6 linked regions of the Callithrix jacchus genome follow. The protein of the gene in region 5 interacts with the protein of the main gene of each other region in a pairwise test. Links are inferred from orthologs where the notes say so. Each region holds a gene or a part of one and is shown on either strand. Other genes may lie near its edges.

Evidence for each region.
Region 1: the proteins of CREB3 (region 5) and BIK interact in a two-hybrid assay, tested with the Homo sapiens proteins (2 studies listed by BioGRID and IntAct). The two-hybrid records come from large-scale screens. The link is inferred for Callithrix jacchus from reciprocal best matches to the Homo sapiens genes CREB3 and BIK.
Region 2: the proteins of CREB3 (region 5) and GJA1 interact in binary tests that used the Homo sapiens proteins (3 or more experiments, as listed by UniProt). The two-hybrid records come from large-scale screens. The link is inferred for Callithrix jacchus from reciprocal best matches to the Homo sapiens genes CREB3 and GJA1.
Region 3: the proteins of CREB3 (region 5) and SLC30A2 interact in binary tests that used the Homo sapiens proteins (3 or more experiments, as listed by UniProt). The two-hybrid records come from large-scale screens. The link is inferred for Callithrix jacchus from reciprocal best matches to the Homo sapiens genes CREB3 and SLC30A2.
Region 4: the proteins of CREB3 (region 5) and SFT2D2 interact in a two-hybrid assay, tested with the Homo sapiens proteins (2 studies listed by BioGRID and IntAct). The two-hybrid records come from large-scale screens. The link is inferred for Callithrix jacchus from reciprocal best matches to the Homo sapiens genes CREB3 and SFT2D2.
Region 6: the proteins of CREB3 (region 5) and FIS1 interact in a two-hybrid assay, tested with the Homo sapiens proteins (2 studies listed by BioGRID and IntAct). The two-hybrid records come from large-scale screens. The link is inferred for Callithrix jacchus from reciprocal best matches to the Homo sapiens genes CREB3 and FIS1.

The regions. Positions count from the first base shown.
Region 1 is NC_133502.1:188,655,043-188,659,024, forward strand, and holds the start of BIK (bcl-2-interacting killer), read right to left. Parts: upstream 2,801-3,982; 5' UTR 2,613-2,800; intron 1,682-2,612; exon of another isoform or gene 1,604-1,681; intron 1-1,603.
Region 2 is NC_133505.1:127,878,274-127,882,337, reverse strand, and holds the start of GJA1 (gap junction alpha-1 protein), read right to left. Parts: upstream 2,801-4,064; 5' UTR 2,728-2,800; intron 1-2,727. UniProt on the Homo sapiens protein: Gap junction protein that acts as a regulator of bladder capacity. A gap junction consists of a cluster of closely packed pairs of transmembrane channels, the connexons, through which materials of low MW diffuse from one cell to a neighboring cell.
Region 3 is NC_133508.1:62,692,650-62,696,694, reverse strand, and holds the start of SLC30A2 (proton-coupled zinc antiporter SLC30A2), read left to right. Parts: upstream 1-1,245; 5' UTR 1,246-1,437; coding exon 1,438-1,487; intron 1,488-2,138; coding exon 2,139-2,359; intron 2,360-2,918; coding exon 2,919-3,065; intron 3,066-4,045.
Region 4 is NC_133519.1:34,101,385-34,105,322, reverse strand, and holds the start of SFT2D2 (vesicle transport protein SFT2B), read left to right. Parts: upstream 1-1,138; 5' UTR 1,139-1,210; coding exon 1,211-1,273; intron 1,274-3,938. UniProt on the Homo sapiens protein: May be involved in fusion of retrograde transport vesicles derived from an endocytic compartment with the Golgi complex.
Region 5 is NC_133502.1:142,636,854-142,641,006, forward strand, and holds the start of CREB3 (cyclic AMP-responsive element-binding protein 3), read left to right. Parts: upstream 1-1,353; 5' UTR 1,354-1,543; coding exon 1,544-1,678; intron 1,679-1,771; coding exon 1,772-1,919; intron 1,920-1,990; coding exon 1,991-2,058; intron 2,059-2,171; coding exon 2,172-2,261; intron 2,262-3,893; coding exon 3,894-4,000; intron 4,001-4,081; coding exon 4,082-4,150; intron 4,151-4,153. UniProt on the Homo sapiens protein: Endoplasmic reticulum (ER)-bound sequence-specific transcription factor that directly binds DNA and activates transcription. Plays a role in the unfolded protein response (UPR), promoting cell survival versus ER stress-induced apoptotic cell death.
Region 6 is NC_133503.1:12,515,255-12,519,392, forward strand, and holds the start of FIS1 (mitochondrial fission 1 protein), read left to right. Parts: upstream 1-1,338; 5' UTR 1,339-1,416; coding exon 1,417-1,461; intron 1,462-2,266; coding exon 2,267-2,399; intron 2,400-4,138. UniProt on the Homo sapiens protein: Involved in the fragmentation of the mitochondrial network and its perinuclear clustering. Plays a minor role in the recruitment and association of the fission mediator dynamin-related protein 1 (DNM1L) to the mitochondrial surface and mitochondrial fission.

The sequences.
Region 1 (3,982 bases), about 46 Mb from region 5:
ACAGGCTTTAGTCAAATGTGTCAGAATCTGTCTTAATGTCCTTACGATGACAAAAAAAGGTCCAGGCATGACGGCTCACGCCTGTAATCCCAGAGTAGCTGGGACTACAGGCATGTGCCACACACAACACCCGGTTAATTTTTTGTATTTTTAGTAGAAACCGGGTTTCACCATGTTAGCCAGGCTGGTCTAGAACCCCTAACCTCAGGTGATCCACTTGCCTCCGCCTCCCAAAGTGATGGGATTACAGGCGTGAGCCACCTCGCCCAGCCAGCAGGAGTATTTAAACACCCAAACGGTGCCATTTACTGAGAACTTATTCTAATGGTATCCCCTAAGTAGAAATCGCGGTAACTCCAGGGAGGCCACTAACTTGAATGTGGCTTTCTTCACCCCCAGCCAGAAACCTCAGGGAGACGTTTCTGCAGAATGGACAGAACAAACTGACTTTGGAGAGACGGAGTAGCCCTTCAGAGGCCGCAGGGCTCTCGGACAGTGGAAAAAGGTTTTGGCTTGGCTTCCCATAAACGGCCCTTGGCTTCCAGCTGGACAACTCTGGCATTTCTGTGCCTCCTGGGACTGAAGTGTTTCTCCACCTGGAAAATGAGGCCTCCTGCTCCCAGGGGGAGATAGAATTTAAGACCTTCCCGAAGCCATTGCCCACCCTAATGTGGGAAGATGAGGCTGACACCAACCCTCCCTGGCCACAGTAAACACCGCATCAGCAACAAAAATGTTACAACATTAAGAGCAGCAGCAGCAACAACAACGTCCTGCCCCCTGAGTGGCTCGTTGTAGCAAAACTGAGAACAATTAACGGCTTGAAAGTGATGGCATTTAGGAGGTCAGAGCCCAGATGACAACCAGCTCCAAACCCCTAATCCTTGTCACGACGGCGCCCCGCAGGCGGAGGAACCCCTCTAGGGTCACCCGCAGGGGCGCACCCCCAGTTTACCGACAAGGTCCCACGCCCCAGCCGGGCTCTCGCCCCCGCCCCGCCCGGAGCGCACCTGTGCAGGGCGCATGGGGCAGGTGCGGGCGAGCGGCTGCGCGCCGCTCCGCCTGCACGTTCCTGTTCCGGACTTTCTGGGCGTCCCGTTACGAAGCCTTTCCTCGGCCTGTCCTCAGGTGCGCAGTGCCCCGGGGAGCCCAGTCCCGGCGGGAACAGGTGCCCGACGCCATCTTCCCTCTTTTAAGGACACCTGGGCTGTGCGACCGCGACCGTGGGCTGGCGGTGCCGCGCTGCGCTCTGGCCGGGTCCGCACGACTACAGAGGTCGGAGCCTGGTCCCCGAAAGCCGCGCTCGAGGACTGTGAGGGGGACGATGGGGCTCCCGGCCTTCGGGGCGAGACGCAGAAGGACCACCCATTGCACAGACGCGGGGACTGAGGGCCGCGCCTGGCACCATGCATGTCCGGGACGTGTCGGAGCCGGAGTCCCGGGACGTAGCCCCGCAAGGGACTCGTCCGCGACTTGCCGGAGCAGAAAGACCGGGCATGGGTCCTCAAATTTTCAGCCGCTCGGCACCCGGGGCCGCGGCCTAGGCGCTAATCGCGGGGCTGGAGTCGGGGAGGGGGAGCGGCAGCAGGGTCGGGGTACTCACCTGGCGGCGGCGGCGGCGGCGGCGGCGGCGGCGGCGATGATAGCAGAGTCTGCGACCCAGCAGAGAGGCGTCGTGTCTGCGGCCCGGGGACCCGCGCGGGACCTAATGGACCGGGACGCCCCGCCCCGCCCGGGTCCCGCCCCGCGCCGCCCCGCCCCGGGAGCTGCCTCTCGCACCCCGAGCGCGGAATGCTGGACTGGGGTCTGAATGGCATTAGCAACAGAACCGCTACAAGTGCGGCCGGTTGGCTTGTTTACGGCCTCTCTGCCCCCTGCTGTTCTGCAAACTTGCTTTGTCTCGTGCGTCGCTGTTTTCCCTGCGCCCGAGACGGGCGCGCACTCAGGGGTTTCCATGAATACCCGGGGTCGATCCCTTGCCAGAATCTGGGTGTATAATCTAAGCCCTTTACACGGATGGCTTCCCTTCGAGCTCAAAGTACTCCTAAGGGCTCGGTGCTGTTTTTCACGATTTTACCCGCATGGGAACCGAGGCTCCAAGAGGACGAAATGACTTGCTGAATGACCGCGTGAAGCCAACGCTTGAAAACGTGTGTTCCTTAGGCAGCTCTGGGACTTAGGTGTTTGGTTTTGTTTTGCTTTGGGACGGACTCTCAGCCACCCACTCTGGAGAGCAATGGCACGACCTCTGCCTCCCGGGTTCAAGCGATTCCCTTGTCTCAACCTCCGGAGTAGCTGGGACTATAGGCGCGCGCCACCACGCCTGGCTAATTTTTTGTGTTTTAGTAGAGATGGGGTTTCACCCCGTTAGCCAGGATAGTCTCAATCTCCTGACCTGGTGATCGGCCTGCCTCAGCCTCCCAAATGCTGGGATTACAAGCCACCGCGCCGGGCCAAGAGATTTAGGTATTTTTAAGCCTATTTCACGAATACGAAAACCGAAGTTCACACTTGGGTTAGCAGCAGTGCTCCAGACCCCAAGCCGGTGGGCTTCCCCTCCACTCCCCTCCCTCCGCAGTCTTCCAGCAGCACCCACACACCCACTGCCTTACCCCTCCGGTCTCGGGCTCCCGGACAGCAAGAGCGGGGCGGGACCGGGAGAGAATTGGGGGCAGGGGGCCCACCGGCAGACCTGCTGAGACGGACCCCAGAGACCCACCAAGGAGAGATAAATCAGAAAGGTTCCGGGAGGGGTGGGGGGCGGCAGCCTGCCCCGCGGGGACGGGTAGTGCCTAACTGCGCCCTGGGGCATATTGGGGGTGGGAGAAGAGGAGGCTCCTGGAATAACAAAGTAACGATTGTCCTGATCACAACAAAGCTTGTTTACGCGTGTCCTGATCCTCTTAGAGATCGGGGGAGGGGCAGGAGCCGGGGCTCCCCTCCCCGGACCATCTCCTCCCCCAGCTCTGTCGTTGCTACCTGTTGGGCACCCTCACTGCTCTTCCTACCTCTAGGGTCATTACTTCCCCCTCAGTGTTCTCATCTGTGAAATGGACAACAGCACCTACCAAGAGCTGGGCTGTTGGGAGGAACAGAGGAGGTAAAGCCTGATAAGGTCTTCAGGGTCCCTCCCTCCTGCTGGGCCTTGGACCTTCTCTGCTTTTGTAGTCTTTGCTTCTAGGGCGTCCAAACCACATCAACTCCCAGCGCTACAAAGCAGCTCACCCTGACTGTGGATAACAGCCACAGGGTGCCTTACAGTCAGGAGTGGGAAACCCTTAATTATGGGGCTTCCCTCTGAGTGCATTTTGCAGATGAAGAAATTGAGACTCAGGGAGGTAAAGCAATGACACAGCATCTCTTGGGTCCAAAAGACCTTGTATGTGTGAGATGTTTGCAGAGGGGTCTTGAGGCTGCAGGCACAGGGCCAGGCATGTGGATGTTCAGTAAACAGCAGAACAGATGGAGAATGAAGGACAGTTTGGGGACGCTTTGAATGATTCAAGGGCAAAGTGGGTGAAAATACAGTACTTATTTACTTTGCAAAATCACAAGATAATATGCTGATCAAGGCTGGGCGCGGTGGCTCACGCCCATAATCACAGCACTTTGGGAGGCCGAGGCGGGTGGATCACAAGGTCAAGTGATCGAGACCATCCTGGTCAACATCGTGAAACCCCGTCTCTACTAAAAATTAGCTGGGCACAGTGGCACGTGCCTGAAGTCCCAGCTACTTGAGAGGGTGAGGCAGGAGAATTGCCTGAACCCAGGAGGCGGAGGTTTCAGTGAACCGAGATGGCGCCATTGCACTCCAGTCTGGGTAACAAGAGCGAAACTCCATCTCAAAAAAAAAAAAAAAGATAATATGCTGATCAAAAAGAGGAAGAGATGGCCAGGCATGGTGGCTGTAACCCCAGCACTTTGGGAGGCCAAGGTGGATCACCTGAAGTCAGGTGTTTGAGACCAGCCTGGCCAACAAGGC
Region 2 (4,064 bases), on a different chromosome or scaffold from region 5:
CCCTTCCCTGCGGGCATCATATACAAAGGCTCAAACCAAGTTACACCCCTGGAATTAGAGAAAAGAAAAGAAAGAATGCACCCAGTGTTTTCCCTCCTTGATGCAGGAATTTGAACCATCTAAGTAACAAAGCAACCTTCAGTTATCTGCAAGCACAGCCTTTTATCTACCTCCTGGGGAGCATCTTTGGAACCACGTTTCCCAAGCAGGGTGGGAGCACTGTAGGTATCAGAATCCCCAAGGGTGAAGGAACTCAGTGGCTGGGGTGAGAGCCCTCAGAAGGCATTAGAAAAATGTGGAGCATGTTTAAACAGTGAAGAAAGTAGGAGCAAAGCACTAGCACTGCATTTTCCCAGCAGAGGACAGGTAACCAGTCTACGCTGACTTTGGGAAGTGCAAAGCACCCCCACACTGGGGGAACATTTGCTAATAATATAGAATCAACACATCGCCAGGACGGAATGTACTGCCTCTGCTTGGTATAATTTCCAGTCAATTCGGCCTACCTAGAAGTAATTACTCTTCTTCCAAAGGTGTTTTCTAACTGGCTTATTTACTGTGTGTGGGGGTCGGGGGGGGGCGGATAGTTAATGAAATCTTTGCATTACCAGACGCTTCAATTTCCAGCGACCCTGGCACAAAAGTAAACATTGGACTTCCTCACAGGGACTCTTTTCACCGAGGTCAAATGCGCCCGATTTTCGGAGGGCGAGATTCAGTATCCTTCTCGTCATTACTAACTGGGTCCGGGAAGCAAGAGAAATTAAACCCACCTCCAAATAAAGCCACGCTTCTTTCTACAACACCATGTACCTCTCCCCTTCCCACCCCCACTTTGTACCCGGAGAGAAAGAAAAGCACGCCTTTTAGGCGCAAGGAGAGCTTACTGATGAGCGTTATCAGAAACGCCCAGCCAAAGTCGCCCGGGTCAAGAAAGGGGCAGGGTGGGCGCTGCGCAGCTCCGAGCGGGAGGCGCGCGTCTAGGAAACGGGCTGACTCGTCCGGGATGCGTCATCAACTCCCCGAGGGTCTCTCCTCCCCGCCCTTTCCCCCGCGCCGCCCCGCCTCGTTCTAGGGAAGTTTCAGGAACTTCCAGGACCAGGAGAGTTGCAAGTGCCATTTAAGCACGATAATTCCCAAGGTATTCAGGTTTTACCAACGCGGAGATAGTGGGATTCAGCAAGTTTCAGAGAAAAAAAAAAAATGCCACTGGGGTGAGAGGGATGGGAAATTAGATTGACAACTTTAATTAAATCAACCATTTGCTCTTCTACCATTTGGCACCCAGCCCATCTCTCCTCCCATCCCTCCCACCCCGCGCCCCGGGTTCCTTCGCAGTGACGGAACTCGGACCTGCGCTCGGTTTGACTAGTGAGGATTGGAGGGAAACGTCCCCAAACCGCGCTGGTTCGGGCAGGAAGGCGCGGGAGGGAGCCCGGCAGACGCTAAGATGGCAGGAGGCGCCCCGCGCCCGTCCGGCCCACGGCCTCGGGCCTCCGCAAAGCTTTCATTTTTATTTGCTTTTCAGCATTCACGGGTGCAGACACTTCCACTGCAGGGTCACGTCAAGAATCTAAGCTAATTATTTTAGTCTGTAGATTTACACAGAACAAAAAATCTTTACCGGGCACAAAAAATGCATGGTTGCATTCTGCTGAACAAAATGTGTGTTAGCAATAAAAGTATTTTAAATACTGAATCCTTTAAAGCAACACATTCGCGTTATCTTTGCCCTAGGAGCTCCAACTCCAAAGAACTGCCCCGGAGTTCTGAACTGTGTTGCAGGTTCGGGTAGAGGGAAGGTGCGGGGCGGCGGGGCTGGGGGTGGGTAGATCCCTCTAAAGCGCCGTTTAAGAAAGTTTTTCCCCTGCTCTTTCTAGGAGCTCCCGTTTTAGGGGACGGTTTTGGAAAAGCACCCTGGCGTACACTCTTGTAAACGTCTGATCTCCTCTAATGCTCTGTAACTAACCACCACCCATTGAAGAGACTTCATCTCCTAAACTGCCAGCGTGGTCGAATAAAAGCAGTGTCTCCTGAGGGTCTCGAAACTTTCCATAGCGGTGGCTAACACAAAGTAACAATTTACTATTGATTTTCAAAGGTAGTATTAATACTCTTGAATTTGATACCTTTTTGTTGAATGGAAAAATTATAGGAAGGAACCACGTGGAAGTCAAGTAACCACGATGTTTTAACAAAGCACTTTGTCACAAAAGAAGTTGGCTCTGCAAAGCTATAGAACCTCAATCAAGATTCCCATATGAAAAATGCACTTTATGAAGTGTAGAATACTATAGGAAGCACGCTAAGCAAATTTGCACTTGGGTTTTTGCGATGTAATCAGTCAAATCCCCCAACCCAGGCTTCTAACCGCTCCCCCCCACCCCAACAAATGATAGCACCTAGACTATTACTGATTATTAAAAAAATAAATTATTCTCTAAAACGAAGAACCAAACATCCAGTAAACTAGTCCTTTATTCTAATCTTAAAGGTTTGAACCTTTTACCTGTTGCAATATTAATAGAAACTTTTGTAACAGTCAAAATATACATTCCGTCCAACAAATTTTAACTTTAAAACTATAGAAACACCTTCAAATTCATCAGTCCATTTACAGTATCATAATTCAAAGCTACATTTAATACATTTTAAAACTTTAGAAAAGTTTTACTTGTAGAAAAAGAAACTACTAGGTAAAGTGTTCTCATTTTTTAAAAAACTTACTCTTTTGCTTAAAAGAAGTGAAGTCACGCCAAGTGATTGAACTCCTTGGAGGATGAAGTAAAAGGAAAAGGCCAGTTCAGGCACTGAGACCTGTCTATTTAAAGTTTAAAACTCTGCTGCTGTTTGGTACTTTCCTCACGCCTTCCCCCTAATGAAAGAAAAGTGCTGATACCTCGTAAAAGCTTTTTTGTAACTTGGAGCACAGAGCTTTTAAAAGTTTCAAGCCACTGACTCAACTGGGAGGAGGGGCTAGAAGAAAGGGGAGGGCAAAGGGAAAGGCGGGGAGGAGGTGGGGAGGAGGCTGGTGAACGTGAAAGGGTGGGGGGAGAAGAGGCAAAGAGCAGGAGCGGGATCAGGATAAAGTCGTAGTTTAAATTTGCTGATGAGAAAAAGTAAAATAGCATTAGGGACATGAATACCTCCACTTGGAGTTGCTCCTCACACATAAGAATCATTGATTATTGTGCTGGCTTCACCAAAAGACCAGGGATGATGGGGGGAAATAGTGTATATTTTTATTATAACATTGTCTAAAATTTTTAAAGTGGTTTACAATATAAATAAAAATAGCAGGGAAGCATATAACCAGTTCCAGCTTGTTTCACACTGACCAAGCTACAGGTAGGTGTGAGTGACCTGTTTGATAATCTAATTCCCTTTCTTTAAATTTAAATAAGGGCAATTAACAAAGGAAATGGTGGGGAAGGGAGAGAGACATTTCAAAAATCGAGGTAGATGAAGAAAAGTCCATACCCAATCCATCTTTCCTCCCCTTCATTGCTTTGAACTTTTACCCTTTCATTCAGTTTAGCAAAAGGCTGTGTGTGAGTATGTGTGTGTGTGTTTTACATACATAGCATGTTTTGTTTGCCTATGAAATCTCGATATCTGACTTCCAGAAAACTAAGATTTTATATTTCAGCCCTCTTTATTCCAAAATACTAAAACGCAAATCTGTAGTGAAATGTCAGGATTTTAAAAACACAGACTATGGTTGCCTTAAGTAGGTTCCCAAACTATTCCGCCCTCCTTAAGATCACTTCCCCTTCTCAAGCCCACTAGAGTTTTCTGCCCAGTGACAGCAGAGTGGGCAGATCATTTTTCTGTGCTTCCCTACCCCTTTCAATGCTCTCCCTCTTCAGGGCTCAGCTTTAGGGTTTATAATGACCTGAGTCATGTGGCCTCGTTCTTAAGGCAGGCAGCTGCTTTGAGGGCTTCCCAGATGCCATAGCAGAGTGTTGTGGTAGGACAATTCCTCATAAATCGGCTTCAGTGATGCTCCTGAGGTTGGGCAGGAAATCTCTTGGCCATATTCTCTGGATGGAAAGCAAACTCAT
Region 3 (4,045 bases), on a different chromosome or scaffold from region 5:
CAGAGGACACCTGTCAGAGGCCAGCTAGGGGCCACAGGCCCCCCCAATCTCCAAGAACCCCAGGGTAAGGAGGCTGCTTCAAGTGGGTGGGGCACCAAGCTTGCCAGGAGGGACAGGGCTTCTCCCAGCGGTACCAACACGGTGGCACCTTCTGCCTGCATTTCCCAGGCTTGCTGGTCGGCCCCTGGGGGGAGGGGAGAAGGGGTGGCCGCCGTGGCGGTGGTCGGCTCTGCCTCTATGGCGACTGCCGTTGACACTGTTCTCTGTGCGGATGGAGATAAAGCCGGTAACTCCAGCTGTTTTGTTTTGTTTTGTTTTGTTTTTGAGACGGAGTTTCGCTCTTGTTACCCAGGCTGGAGTGCAATGGCGCAATCTCGGCTCACCGCAACCTTCGCCTCCTGGGTTCAGGCAATTCTCCTGCCTCAGCCTCCCGAGTAGCTGGGATTACAAGCACGCGCCACCATGCCCAGCTAATTTTTTGTATTTTTAGTAGAGACGGGGTTTCACCATGTTGACCAGGATGGTCTCGATCTCTTGACCTCGTGATCCACCCGCCTCGGCCTCCCAAAGTGCTGGGATTACAGGCGTGAGCCACGGGGCCCTGCCGTCACTCCAGATTCTAATCAGAGCACACAGGAGAGGAGCTGGCGCTGCTTCAGTGGCGAGGATGGTTGATCAGTCCCAGCCGATGCTAGGGAGAAACACTGGTCCCAGCCTGAGGGCGGCACAGCCCACCCCAGGACCCTCCTAGCGGGAGGGCAGGAACGCAAGCCGACCTCGGTAGTCTCCGGCCTGAGAGGGGAACATGATCAAGCCCAGGGCAGCCGCCAGTCGGAGGGGGCAGACGCGGCCCCAGGAGTCTCTGGAGACCCTCTTCCGAGGCAAGGAGCCACAGTCCTGTCATTGGGACCACCAAAGAGGATTTCTACAAACCAAGGTCGAGAACCTTTCTGTGGGAACGCGGCCCACTCTGCGCGGGAGAGGAAGCGCAGCCGTCACCCCGTTCTCACTCAGCAACACCGGGCGCCGCGCCTGGCGAAGGCTGGCAGGCTTCTCGCGACCCGCAGGTGGGCTCCACGTGCCCCAAGGACGCAGGCACCGGTGCGCGGGGCCGCAGCCCGGCGCCTTTTGCAGCCGGCCACCCCGCCCCTTCCCCGGGGGCTTTTGCACACGACGCGCCGCGGGCCGCTTCACACGGGGTGGCGAGGCCCGGATAAAGTCGGCGGCCGCGGGGCTCAGCGGCGTACCTGAGACCTGGGGCGCTAGGCGCGCGGAGCCAGAGCCGGAGCAGCAGCCGCAACTGCAGCCGGGGGACCGCAGGGGCCGAGTCGGAGAAAGCGCAGCTCGCGGGTGAGCGCCACCCGGAGTCCCGCGCGCAACTTCCAGGGCGCACTCGGCGGGCGGCCGCGGCGCTGCCGCTACCCGGCGCGGGGCAGCATGGAGGCCACGGAGAAGCAGCACCTGTTGGACGCCAGGCCCGTAGTCCGGTACGACGAAAGCCTGGAGCCAGGCGGGAATTTGGGCGGCAGCCGACGCACCTCCGCGCTTGCCATCCTAGCAGTGGTTCGTTTTGGCGGCGGCTTGAGCTGGGGCCACGTAGGAAGGGTGGGGTGAGGTGAGGGAAGGGTGGATGAGGTGAGGGCTGTGGCCCAAGGTCCCCTGGGGCCCAGCACAGATCCTGACCCCTGCCCGCGGGGAGCCTGGGGTCGGGTGAGTGGCGGTTCCCCTGCCTGGAATCCCGCCCCGCCCAGCACTTTGCCCCAGGCAGTCCCGCCCTGGGGAGGCCCTGTTGGAGGGGGGCCTGCTCTTCTCCCAGAGCCTGCACTCTGTTCCTTCCCCGTGCTCCACTGGACTGCACGCCCCTTGGCCGGTTCCCAGGGTCTTCTCCTCCTCTGGCCTCTGAAGGGATTGAGGAGAAGGAACACCCCGGGACCAGGACCCCAACACTCCCATTCCCTTAGCATCCCCGTCTGAACACAGGCTTCTCACCTCTGGTCACTCCTCAGGGATTGTCAACTTAGAGTGTCCTTAGCTATTTTTCCCAGTGGACACAGGCCTCACAGAGAAATGGGACCAGAGGCCGCCCTCCTTGCCCCATCTCAGAGCTGAGCATGCCCCCTCTCTTACTCTCTGGCCAGGCCATACATGGGATCTCTGTGGCAGGAGGGGGCTGGCTGGATCCCTCTGTCCCGACCTGGTCTGGACTTGCAGGCCATTGAGCTGGCTGTGGAGAGCAATCATTACTGCCATGCTCCGAAGAGTCCTAGCAGTGACTGTGACCCCAAGAAGGGGCAGGCCCGGCGCCAGCTCTACATAGCCTCTGCCATCTGCCTGGTGTTCATGATCGGAGAAGTCATAGGTAAGTACTTTTGGGCTAATTAAATGAAGTAGGTGCATGGATAGACTGGATATTCCCAGCAATACTGACGCTAATAGCCCCTCTTACTGAACACTCACCATGCCAAGCCTTTGTGTACACATTAGCTGATGCAGGGCTAACAACAACCTGTGTTATTACATGGGTGACGTTTTTTCTTATTTTACAGACCATGAAACCAAGGCATGTTCAGTTAAGTAACTTGCAAAGATTATACACAGCTAGTAGCTAAGGGAAGGCCTGAATTCCTAGAAGGAAAGAGCATTTACTGAATACCTACTCTGCTTTCCAGTCCCTATGTGAACTTGATGTGCACATCCACCCTCTAAGATGTTGGTGGCCCTTTTCACAGGGAGTGGAAGTTGAGGCTGAGAGAGAGTAGGTTGCTTGCTCATGGTTGTACAGCTCATGGGTGGAGAGATCCTGAACTCAGCATGGCTTTTTCCAGAGCCTGTGGTCTCCCTGCTGCACACACAGTCTGGGAAGCCAGGTCTCTGGGGAGCTGATAAGGACCCTGCACCCTCTGGCCCTGCCCCTGCAGGTGGGTACCTGGCACACAGCTTGGCTGTCATGACCGACGCAGCACACCTGCTCACTGACTTTGCCAGCATGCTCATCAGCCTCTTCTCCCTCTGGATGTCCTCCCGGCCAGCCACCAAGACCATGAACTTTGGCTGGCAGAGAGCTGGTGAGGATTGCAGTTTGGCTGGATATGGGGTTGAGAGAGAGGGTGAGTTAGAACAGGGGTTCTTAGGTAGCTATAATGGGTGGATCCCCCATTCCTCCCCCAAGTGAGGCCAGGAGGGTAATCTGGATGGGGGATGGGGGAAGAGAATATCAACCATGGCCTCTGTCCTCTGGTAAATTCCAGTCTTACGGGGAGCCCTGGTTTCTGTCATCCAGGAGCTCTCAGTCTGCAGGGAAGCAAAGTTCACTGTCCTAAGAAGTGCAGTAGTGGGACGGGCACAGTGGCTCATGCCTGTAATCCCAGCAGTTTGGGAGGCGGAGAGGGTCAGATTACCAGGTCAAGAGATCAAGACCATCCTGGCCAACATGGTGAAACCCCATCTCTACTAAAAATACAAAAATTAACTGGGCGTGGTAGCGCACACCTGTAGTCTCAGCTACTCAGGAGGCTGATGAAGGAGAATCGCTTGAACCCGGGAGATGGAGGTTACGGTGAGCCGAGATCATGCTACTGCACTCCAGCCTGGCCACAGAGCGAGCCTCCATCTCAAAAAAAAAAAAAAAAAAGAAGCGCAGTAGCCAAGCTTCAAGAACAAATGACAATGGCATTAACACTGCATATAAATCTGTGGATCAGCTCTGGGGGGAGGGGAAGGCCAGCAAAGCCTGCTGGAAGGTATAGGTTCTAACCTCTCTTCTGTTCTCTTGGGGCTGCGTCGTCATCTTCCTCTTTTTGGGAGATGGCCCAGCCTCTCTTACCCAGAAGCCTCAGTTTACTAGCTGGACAAAAGGCATATATTTTAATAAGCCAGTTTCTTCATATGTACAATAAAAAAGGTGGACCCAGATGATGACTTACTAGTTCCTTCTAGCTCTGACATTCCCAAATATAGAGTGGTGGGGTAAGGAGCAGCTATGCCAGCCATAGCTTCAGCAGAGCCCAGTGGGACCCAGGCCTTGACTTTGTGTTGGGGGTGGGTG
Region 4 (3,938 bases), on a different chromosome or scaffold from region 5:
CTTCCTCCTCAGCCTTGCAAGTAGCTTGGACTACAGGGGCCCACCACCATGCCTGGCTAAGTTTTAAAACTATTTTGCAGAGATGAGGTCTCCTTATGTTGCCCAAGTTGGTCTAGAACTCCTGGGCGCAAGCCATTTTCCCATAAGTGCTGGGAATACAGACATGGCCACCATGCCCAGTCTATTTTCAGTTTTTTTGAGGTCAGTAAAACAAACTATTGTACAGTTTAACAACAATCTTTTATTCCTTTCCATATTCCTTCAGTCATTTTTTTTTTTTTTTGAGACAGAGTCTCGCTCTGCTCTGTCACCGAAGCTGGAGTGCAGTATCCTGATCATAGTTCACTACAGCCTGGAACTCCTTGGCTCGTGAACCTCCTGCCTCAGCCTCCTGAGTAGCTGGGTTTACAGGCATGCCCCACCACACCAGGCTAATGCCTTGAGTGACTGAAAAAGGAAACAGTAACTCTTGGCTGGGCGCCGTGGCTCATGCCTGGAATCCCAGCATTTTGGGAGCGGATCACCTGAGGTCACGAGTTCGAGACCAGCCTGACCAACATGGAGAAATTCCGTCTCTGCTAAAAATACAAAATTAGCGGGGCGTGGTGGCACATGCCTGTAATCCCAGCTACTCGAGAGGCTGAGGCCAGAGAATTGCTTGAACCCGGGAGGCAGAGGTTGCGGTGAGCTGAGATGGCACCACCGCACTCCAGCCTGGGCAACAAGAGCGAAACTCCGTCTCAAAAACAGAAAACGAAAAACAAAAAACTTTTCCAGTGTAAGCGCGATCGCAACGTGGATGAACCACAGCCTTTGCTCCCGCCTGCACGAGGCTCCTTCGCTGTCTTTGTTACTCCAGAGCCTTGCACGTGGTAGATGCGGCTCGTTTGTTGCCCGGAACAACAGGCAACAGGGCGAGGGAGCGCGGCCCGTTCCGGTTTGGAACACAGTGCCGGACGCCGAATTAGTGTTTGGCAACGCCTGGTGGACTTCAATCCCAGCCCCTCTGGCCTGACCCGCCTCCCGGGACCAAAACACGCCCGCGAAGGCCGGCGCGAGGCATGCCGGGCGCCCCCAGGTGGGCAGGTGCCTGGGCGGGGCGCGCCGCGGTTGGCATCCTGGCGGCTGCAGAGCACCCGGAAGAGCCAGCAACTTAGCTAGCGCAACAGGCGGCCGCGGAGGGGCCGGAGCCGGTGGGGACTGGGCCGCAATGGACAAGCTGAAGAAGGTGCTGAGCGGGCAGGACACGGAGGACCGGAGCGGCCTGTCCGAGGTGAGTGAACCCGGGAACTCGGCCCTCTCTCGCCGCGCTCCCGCCCTGCGTTCCCCGCCCGGGCCTGGGAAGCCTGCTGGGACTTGCAGGAATTTCTGGATGGCGGCTCTGCCCCTTCTCCTCCTCTTCTCCAGCACGGCTACGCGAGGAGCCCCGGGGCTGCAGTGGGCCTTCGGCCGCCGCGTCCTTTTCTGCCCCGCGCCCCTTCCTTCTGCCCCACGTCCCTTCCTTCTGCCCATCCTCCCCGACAGAGGGCCGGGCAGGAGGAAATCCCGGGACTGACCTGCGAGTGGGAGGGCAGGTGTCCCGGAGGTCGGCCCCAGCCCTACCAGCCGGGGAATGCGCTTTAGGACCGGGCAGGGCTGGAGGAAGGAGCCCTTGCTGGGTGGGTCGGGGCGCTGGACCAGGGCTGGGGTGTTGGGGTGGCGGTCCCCATCTCGCGACGTGGTTGGTAACCGCGACCCAAGCTCTGCCTTGGTTTTCTGCCCGGTTTAGTTGTAGAGTGTGACACTCCCACCCGGCCCTGTGCACATCGCCTCGTGATTGTAAAACTGCCTCCACCCTATGAGGGCAGGGATCACGTATTGTGTCTCTGTGTCCCTGTGCCCACACCTAGACTCTAGACACCCAGCGCCTCAGGAGACTGCCTGCGTGTTGATTTGTTTTATTAGAAAATATTTTCTTTCTTTTGTTTTTTTGGAGAAGGAGTCTCACTGTTGCCCAGGCTGGAGTGCAGCTGCGATCTCGGCTTACTGCAGCCTCCACCTCCTAGGTTCAAGCGATTCTCCCACCTCAGTCTCCCAAGTAGCTGGGATTACAGCCACCTGCCACCAAGCCAGGCTAATTTTTGTATTTTTACTAGAGACGAGGGTTTCACTATGTTGGCAAGCTGGTCTCGAGCCCCTGACCTCAAGTGATCCCGCTCGCCTCGGCCTCCCGAAGTGCTGGGATCACAGGTGTGAGCCATCGCGCTTGGCCTATTAGAAAAGTTTTGATAGTGCTGAAACCTGGCCGCTAATGTCCTAAGTTGTAGAACCACACAGAATGATGCATTTCTATTTTGGATGCTTTTGTCTATTGTTTTCCTTTTCAGATGACAAAATAACGTTTCTCTTCACTTTTTGGAGTATTCTTCAGCCTCCGTTCCATACCCTCCGTGAAATGCGGGTATTGAACAAGATGATATGGCCTCTTTCAACTGGAAACTGGAGTTTCCCTCTCACTTTAATCAGTATTTCTTCTGGGTTTCTCAGCAAGCTGCTTTCACCCTCGTTTGTGGTTGCTGATTTGTTTTGTTTTGTGTGATACTGGTAATTATACTTTCTCCATCACATCTCAGAATGTCAAACTTGCTCTCTGAATTACCTGGAGGGAGTAATGCTATGGGATCAAATGTTGGAGGCACTGAAGTTTAACTTGTTGACATTTCAAAACAAGTTGGTGGTTTGTTTTTAATTTGTTGCCTTTGTTAATTGGTGAAGGCCCAGGATTAATTTCACGGGTTCTTTTTTCTTGATTTCTAGCCTCTATTATGAATCTCAAGTGGAACCTCAGACTGGGCCTAAGAAAGGTCTGACTTGTAGGTTGCTGACCCTTGCTATTTAAAGCTTTATTTCCATTGACTGTCAGCAAGCCTTTATGAACAGTTGGTGCTTAAGAGGAGATACTTTCTCTCCCTGCAGACTCTTGGGAGGTGGGGTGTTGACAGTGGGATGATGCCGGTATTATTGTCTCAAAAATCATCACGAAGTACTGGGCCCACAGCTAGCGAAGTTTGCAAACATAAATGCGGAGCTTGTTTGTAACCTAAAACGGTGAATGCCTGTGTTGGATATTATGAGAAGGGCTTTAATGCGTTATGCTCAGGCACCTGTTGGATCTGTTTGAAAAAGAATAGGTGCTCATTCTTGTTCTCAAATACTTTGGTCAGCTTCCTCTTTCTGAGTGACATTTCTGTTTATAATACCATTGTATGGTACTTCCAGAGTCTTGAATTCCTGGGAAATGTTTTGTTGCTGACTGACTTCCTCTTCCATGCTTTTTACTTTAGTTTTTACTGATTAGGTCAGAACCTCCCTTAAAATATTGGTACTGATTTATTTGATTGTCTCACATTTTTCGTGGTTTGGGGGCTGCCAAAACTGGTGGATTCTGTGAGGAAATTGCTCTTTGTATGGTTAGTTGAATTCTTAGGTGCTCTTAAAAATCTCTTTAAGAGGACACTAGAAGAGTGCTTTTTACACTTTTTATTCCTTTAATGCAAACCATAAAGGTATGACTAGTTCTATTTCTTCTACCTCTCCTAGGTAGTTATAAACTTTTCATGGCAGCATCTAATTATAGCCTCATGATGAATTTCCTAATTGATACCTCATCTTCATAAATACACCTTAAATCTTTAGTTTCACTGGACTTTTTTCTGAAAGTATAGGTTTTATGTTTTTTATAAAGGATTCTGGGACAAGAAAGGTGTGAATAGTATCTGATTTTAAAGTGTGGAAATGAAGCAGTATTCCTTTCTCACCTCCTTATGGTCACCAGTCCTGTTTTTCTGAACAATTAGTTTTACTTCTTGGTAAGAGCCCCTCTTCTCTCCACATCGCAGAGTGAAAGCGACCTTGTGAATAACTGCCAGGCAGACTCCTTGTGAGCACATCGCCTGCAC
Region 5 (4,153 bases):
GCTCAAGGTCAACTATGCTAGCCTCAAACCACAACCCCTAAAGCTGCCTCAAATTCCTAATACTAACCCCACCTCTAATTTGTTTTCTGATTCCCAGTACTGGCTTGGACATTCATCTCTTTCCTAGCAAAGACCCATATTCAATCCCTGAACCCTAACACTGATCTACGTTTTACCTTTAGCACCAAATCCCCTGATGTTAACCCTAAATGTTGACCCCAAAGCCTAAAGTTCATTTGTAAACTGATTCCTAACTCACCCTTTCACTGTTTATTCTTAATAGTGAGCATGCCAACGTTCTTTAATCCCCCAAACAGATTTCTAACCTGATTCCTGTTGTTGACCCTTAACCCGATCCTGAACTCAAATTATGACGAATGCTGGCCATGCCAGTAAACAAAATAATGACCTTAATCTAAACCTTACCTATCCAAAACGGACCTGACTCACACTGACTCAAGTTTTAACTCCAGCTTTTAACTCCTACAGCGACCCCTCATTCCTAAACCGATCCCACCTAATCTGCAACTCACCCAAAGCTTTCCTACCCACATGCCCGCTATCAGCTAACACCAAAGCCCGTCCCCGCCCTGCGCCCCGCTGCCACCCGACTCCTCACGCTCCCCAACGCCTATCCCAGGCAGAGGACTGCTCCGAGGAAAGGTCTGTCTCCCCTAAGACGGCCTACTTCACGCCAAGCCCAGGTCGAGATGCGCTGGACCCTGACCTCTCCTACTAATAGGACCCGAACCGGACACGAAGGAGAGGCAGGGCCCCGCCTGCCCGCCACCAGGGCCAGGTTCCGCGGCCCCACCCTAAGGCCCCCGCCCGGCCCAGCCCGGTCCGGTCCAACCTACCTGCGCTGCCTGGCTCTGCGCCCTGCCCGCCGGCCCGCAGCCCTGAGGCTTCTCGGGTCGCCCTCTGGCTCCGGCCTCGCCTTCCCTTCGACACTCCCTCGGCCACTTCCGTCCCAGGAACGTCCCCCACCCGCGGGCGGCGCCCTGGGCTCGCGCTCTATGGTCGTGGGGCCGGCAGGAAGCTGCTCTGGCCCCGGTCTCGATGCTCAGGAGCCGCCGAAGCCCGGCAGCCACTCCCCGGCAGGAAGCGAGGGTACGGCGCAATGCTGAGACGACGCCCGGATGACGCCTGAGCTTCCTTTTAGGCCTGAACTCTTAATTTTTCCAGCCTGGGGGAGAAGGCGGAGCCGGAGCCCCGGAGCCTCCGCCCTCGGGGTGCGAGGCGACGGCAGGGCCGTCCCCTGTATTTGCATAGCCCTTGGGACGTGGCGCGGCACCCAGGCCGCCTTCCAGTTGGAGAGAACTCCAAGTCCCAGAATGCCACGGGGCCGGGTGCGTCACTTTCGCTGTGTTGGAGGCTGAGGAGAATTGAGCCTGGGAGGTGGGTCCGGAGAGGGCTACGGATAGCCCCGGCGGGGAAGCCCGGCCGTAGAGGGGCGGTGGAAAAGTGCCAAAGGCCGACAGCTGATCTGGGACTCGTGTCTGGGCTTCGGACGTTGGGGCCCCGTGGCCCACCCTTTACGTAGATGTCTCAAATGGAGCTAGAATTGGATCCTGGTGACGAAGACCTGCTGGGCTTCCTGCTAGAGGCAAGTGGAGATTTGGGGACGGCGCACGAGGCCATCAGGGCCCCACTGGACTGGGAGCTGCTGCTTTCTGAGGTGGGTTGGGATTGCGACTGGGGAAAGCGTGGGATGTCCATGAGGTCAGGTGATGGTTATAGGTCAAGGCCTGTTCATTGGAACCCTGCGCAGGTACCGAGTGACTGGGAGTTAGATGATTTGCTGAGCTCACTGCTGAGTCCCCCAGCATCGTTGAACGTTCTCAGCTCCTCCAACCCCTGCCTTGTCCACCACGACCACACCTACTCCCTCCCACAGGAAGCTGTCTCTGTTGATCTAGGTGAGTCTGAAGTAAGTTTGCTGGGAGGAGAGGATTCATGGGCCTGGCTATTCATACTTTCCCTTTTGCAGAGAGTGAGAGCTTTGGAAAAGAGGAGACCCAGATGACTACACAGCATGTGGAGGAAATGGCAGAGCAGGTACTTGACTTGATTTTCAGGAAGATTACTCTCACATTCCCCAGGTGGGGCAGGATTCCCCATTCCTCTCTGACATCCCCATGCAACTGCTGCCCACTTTCTTGTTACCCTAGGAGACTGTTAGGTTGGTACTGACAGATGAGGAGAAGAGTCTATTGGAGAAGGAGGGGCTTATTCTGCCTGAGACACTTCCTCTCACTAAGGTAAGACTCTCATTGGTTGAGCAAAGGCTGAAAGGGAGTAAGAGTCCCAAGTAGGCCAGTTTTGTTAACTTTATATCAATAACTTTAAAAAAGGATTGAGTTGAGAAAATTAGCAGATTTGTTGCTAATAAGAAGTTGGGGCAGGTACCTAATGTGCTAGATGCAAGGGCAGATACTCGTATTTGTTGGGCTTACTTATACAAATTTTGGTGTTCTGCCTAAAAAAAAAATCATCAATGTAACTTAGTATTGGGCCTTGGAAAGGACTGTGTAAGTGAAGGGCCTTGACACTTCATTGGCTTGATAGTAGTCTACCTCTTGCTGAATGGTAAAAATGTTTAGAGTTCAACAGGGGTGGACTAAGCAGGACATGAATAAATGTAAAATCCTGAGTTTTAAGTTTTAAGCAATGAGCAGCAACTTCACAAGCAGAGTACTGTGATACTATGATGAAATCAGTGCTCATTAATAAAAAGGTTACAGGAATTTTTTCTTTTTGACAGGGTCTTGCTCTGTTGCCCAGGCTGAAGTACAGTGGTGTGATCATGGCTAACTGCAGCTTTGACTTTCTGGGCTTAGGTGATTCTCCCACCTCAGCCTCCCAAGTAGCTGAGACTACAGGTGCATACTACCCTGCTCAGCAAAATCTTTTCTGGTATTTTTAGTAGAGATGGAGTTTTACCTTGTTGCCAGGCTGGTCTTGAACTCCTGGGCTCAAGTGATCTACCCACCTGGAGCTACCAAAGTGCAGAATTTTAATTTCTTCAAAGTACAAGATGAATCGGCAGTGTGATGTGGCTACTAGGAAAGTGAATGGAATTTGGAGACTGTAGCAATAGAGTTATTGCCTCTATAAGTGACTCTCTTGCTTTCCTTTATACTGGGTAGAGCACATCTTAATGTCCAATTTTGAGACCATCTTTGACAGATATTAAGAGGATGCAGGCTATCCTAAGATGATGTTAAAAATTTTGTGTAAGTTTTTTTTTCTTTTTTTTAAGCTCTGAGGAAATGTTAAGTGCCTTAAAATAGCTAACACAGTTCATTCTATTTGGCCCCAGAAATACTAGGTAAGTCTAATGGATAGAAATTATAAGGAGGCAGCTGTTGGTTCAGGATAAGAAAGTTTTGTTTAAAGACAGGTTCTTTCTTTATTGCCCAGGTTGGAGTATAGTGGCAAGATCATGGCTCACTACAGCTTTGACCTCTCAGGCTCAAGCCATCCTCCTGCCTCAGCCTCCTGAGTAGTGGGACCACAGGTGTGTGCTACCACACCCAGCTAATTTTTTATTTTTAGTAGAGACAAGATTTCAATATGTTGTTCAGGCTGGTCTCAAACTCCTGGGCTCAAGCAGTCCTCCTGCCTTAGCTCCCTAAGGTATTGGGATTACAGGCATAAGCCACGTTGGCTGCATATTGCCTGACCAATTTTTTTTTTTAATTGTTTAAAATGGTCTGGCTTGTTAGGGTTAACACCTGGTCCGTGGAGGCATTCAGAAAGAAACTGAATGCCTATTGGTCAGAGAAGCTGTAGAAGAGATTTCTGCATTGGAAAGAGATTGATCTCAGTTGCCTTTCAACTCCTTGGTCTAGAGTCCCTCTCATGGTATCCCTTTCCCTGTTTGCTTTCAGATGGAGGAACAAATTCTGAAACGTGTGCGAAGGAAGATTCGAAATAAAAGATCTGCTCAAGAGAGCCGCAGGAAGAAGAAGGTGTATGTTGGGGGTTTAGAGAGCAGGTATGAAAGGGAGAGAGACTCAGTTGTTAGATTTTTGAAGGGAGGATACAGGTCATATACCCATATCTTTATTTCCCCCAGGGTCTTGAAATACACAGCCCAGAATATGGAGCTTCAGAACAAAGTACAGCTTCTGGAGGAACAGAATTTGTA
Region 6 (4,138 bases), on a different chromosome or scaffold from region 5:
CCTCAGCCTCCCAAAGTGCTGAGATTACAGGTGTGAGCCACCACACAAGGCCCTAGTGTCCATCTTTTTATCCTCTGTGCCTACCCCAAGGCCCAGCCAAAATTAGGTGCTCTATACATCTCTGAATGGACGTGAGGTTTTCTCCTTCAGGTTTATGCTAATTAATGGGCATCAAGGACCCAGTTCCCCAACCTGGGGATCCTCTCAAGGCTTACAGAGCTCACCGTATCAGTCATTTCAACCATCCAGGCTAAATAGGGAAGAATAACTCTTGCCTTTCTAACTCACGATACTCTCATGAGAAGAAAAATATTAGAGGCTTGGCTGGGCACAGTAGCTCACGCCTGTAATCCCAGCACTTTGGGAGGTCGAGGAAGGCGGATCATCTGAGGTCAAGTTTGAGACCAGCCTAGCTAACATGGTGAAACCCCATCTACTAAAAATACAAAAAATAGCCAGGCATGGTGATGGGTGCCTGTAATCCCAGCTACTCCGGAGCCTGAGGCAAAAGAACTGCTTGAACTCAGAAAGTGGAGGTTGCAATGAGCCAAGATCGTGCCACTGCACTGCAGCCTGGGCGGCAGAGTGAGACTACACCTCAAAAAAAAAAAAAAAAAAGGATTTGAAAGTTTCTACCTATCCAGTCCCCTCTCTGCACAGAAACAGAGGTGTCCGAACCTTTCTCTTCCGACAAGGTCTCTGTCGCCCAAGCTGGAGTGAGTGCAGTGGCGTGATAACTCACTGAAGCCTTGAATTCCTGGGCTCAAGTGATCCACCTGCCTCCGCCGCCCTAGTAGCTGGGAGTACAGGTGCAGGGCACCACGGTGGTTAATTTTTTAAAAAAAATTGTAGTGATGGGGGGGTCTCTCTTTGTTGCCCAGGCTGGTCTTGAACTCCTGGGCTCTAGCGATCTTCCCGCCTCGGCCTCCCAAGGTGTTGATGCTCCCCTGTGGCAGCCACGTGCCCGGCCCTGGGTTCTAATTACGATTTTGTTGCAGGCGGTAAAAAGTCACGTGGCCTCCAAGGTCCTATATTTCTGCGGTGTGTCAGCTTGGCACCTAATGTGATGTGATCTCCACCCTCAGCTCTGTTTGCTCTTTTCATCCTGGGGGCTAACCGCTAAGACATAGCCTCCGGCTTCCCTAGGGGAGCCTCCAAGCGGGGAGGCACCGGCTGGGGTACTGAGGAACACCCACTTGAGGAAGGTCTCCCTGAGCGCATTCTGCTGGCTGGAGATGTCGGCTGAGCCTGCGCGCTAGCGCCCCGCCCGCGCCGCTGAGCCGGAGGAAGGGGCGGGGCGTCGCCAAGTCGGGTCCGCATCCGCCAGACGCCGGAAGTGGCTCTCCGCCCCTGCCACTGGACCATGGAGACTGTGTCACAGTAGATTGTGGTGTAAGGCTCGCGGGGGCAGTGGCCATGGAGGCCGTGCTGAACGAGCTGGTGTCTGTGGAGGACCTGTTGGTGAGGCCTGGCCCGGACAGGGAAAGGGAAGGTCGGAGGGCGGGTCCTGAGGAGAGTCAGGTAGCTGGCCGAACCCTCCTCCCGGCATCAGCTTGGCCGAGGGAAGCCGAACTACGACTCCCGGCAGCCTCCGTAGCGCCTGTCTCCTGCCGAAGGGCCCGCTATGCCGCAGAGGCTCCTGGGGGTTGTAGTGTCCTGAGCCCCCACACCACACACTGCGGCCCTGAAGCTCCGAGTGGTTAGACTGCCGGGCTGTGGAATCCTGCTGTGAAGTCAGGGCGCTCCTGCAGCGGTGGTAGAATACAGTGACCATCATAAGGTGTCACGTATTATTGTGTTCCGCACGGTGCTAAGGCAGCGCATTCCAGATCTCAGTCTTTCTTTGTAGCTCTAGGAGGTAGGCACTGCTTCTATTCCTGGACATTAAAAGGTCCAGGCCCGGCAGAATGGGGCAAGATGGGGCCAGCAGCCTCAGAAGAGGACCGCGTGGGCTGTTGTTGAGCAGTTCTGACAGGGTGTTTACTGTTCGACCGTCGGGTCAGCTGCTCCGGGAGCGGTGCCTGGCGCTGCCACCAGGTGGCATCTCCGCTCGCTACCGCCGGTGGGGAGGGGAGACCAGGGGCCTGGAGGAGCCGAAAGCCTGGGTCCGGGGCCCGGCGATAGCAGAAGCTGGGGTGCCAGATACCGAGACCGGCGAGGGAAAGGGGGCAGGGCCAGGGAGATGGGGTGTGACCGACACCACGTCCAGATAGAGAATGGTTGACGCCCTTCATGTCTAAATGATTCCTTTGCTCCCCTGTGGCAGAAGTTTGAAAGGAAATTTCAGTCTGAGAAGGCAGCAGGCTCGGTGTCCAAGAGCACGCAGTTTGAGTACGCCTGGTGCCTGGTGCGGAGCAAGTACAATGATGACATCCTCAAAGGCGTCGCGCTGCTCGAGGGTGAGGCGCCGGGCGACCTAACTCCCCTTCCCGCTGCCATCGGGGCTGCTGTACGACGTGGGCCCTGTAGGCCAGGAACCTTGCAGTTGTCTCCGGTAGATTTACTGCAGCAAGGCTGACCTCTCCCACTAAACTTTTGGCTGCTTACCACCCACCATTGTTTTGCCAGACAGAGTCCTAGCCTGCCAGTTCCCCCAAGACTATGTTGATCTGGGAAAGCGCCTTGAAGTCATGCAGCTAATCAATTAATGGCTGAATTGGGAATAGAAGCTCCAGTTTTGAGAGACCCAGGCCCATGCCCGTCCCCCCAACACCAGCACCTTGTTGCTTAGTTCGCAGCTACTGAGAATCTTTAGTGGCGTGGAAGAGGTACAGAGGACTGTCCCACAAATTTGTGAACAGACAGTGCTTTTTGTTTTTTGTTTTTGTTTGAGACAGAGTCTTGCTCTGTCTCTCAGGCTGGAGTGCCGTGGTGCTATCCCGGCCCACTGCAACCTCCACCTCCCGGTTCAAGCGGGCCCGCCACCACACCCGGCTAATTTTTGTATTTTTAGTAGACAAGAGTTTCACCATGTTGGCCAGGCTGGTCTCCCACTCCTGACCTCAGGTGATCCGCCCACCCTAGTCTCCCAAAGTGCTGGGATTACAGGCCTGAGCCACTGCATGCGGCCAGATAGTGCTTTTTGGATTGGGTCAACATTTGTCAGAGGCCACAATACTTAACCACTTAATTTCTCTATAGCTCCTTTCTTTCGTTCAAGTAATAATTTATAAGCACACAGTATACAACCATCCCTCTGTATCCGTGGGGGATGGGTTCTAGGAACTCCACCCCCACAGATACCAATAGCCACCCAAGTTTGTGGTGTTACATGTAACTTACACATCTTCCCCCATATACTACATCATCTGTAGATTACTGATAATACCAAGTACAAAGTCAATGCTGTGTAAATAGTATACTGTATTGTTTAGGGAATAATGGCCAGAAGAAAGGTCTGTTCATGTTCAGTACAGATGCAACTACCTTCCGTTTTCCTGAGTATTTTTGATCCGTGGTTCGTTGAATCCATGAATACAGAACGCTGATGTGCTAGCAAAGGATGCCTATTGAAAATCTATAAAGATAAGACTCTTTCTTAAAAGATACAAATAATTTCACCGCATGTTTGTCTACTTTCACAATTGAGATTTTCAGGTTTATTCTGCAGCAGGGTGTAGCAGTAGAAGAAACGGCCTCTCCAGGTGTTGCCACTCTAGTTGGGGCGACAGTACAGACACTTAGGAAGATTTATAAACACCTGCAAAACTATTTGGCAACAAATCCTAGTGCATAGAGTACAGTTATCCTCTGGGAGGCCTCTGAACTAAGGTCAGGTGGGGCCAGGTGGCTCACGCCTGTAATCCCAACAGTTTCAGAGGCCGAGGTGGGCAGATCATGAGGTTGGGGTTTGAGACCAGTCTGGCTAACATGGTGAAACCCTGTCTCTACTAAAAATACAAAAATTAACTGGGCATGGTGGCTTGCACCTGTAATCCCAGCTACTCAGGAGGCTGAGGCAAGAGAATCCCTTGAACCCAGGAGGGGGAGGTTGCAGTGAGCGGAGATCATGCCACTGCACTCTGCTCTGGGCAACAGAGCAAGACTCTTGTCTAAAAAATAAAAAGAGAAAAAGAAAGTCAAGTGGGGCCAGGCTTTGTGGCTCAAGCCTGTAATCTCAGTACTTTGGGAGGCTAAT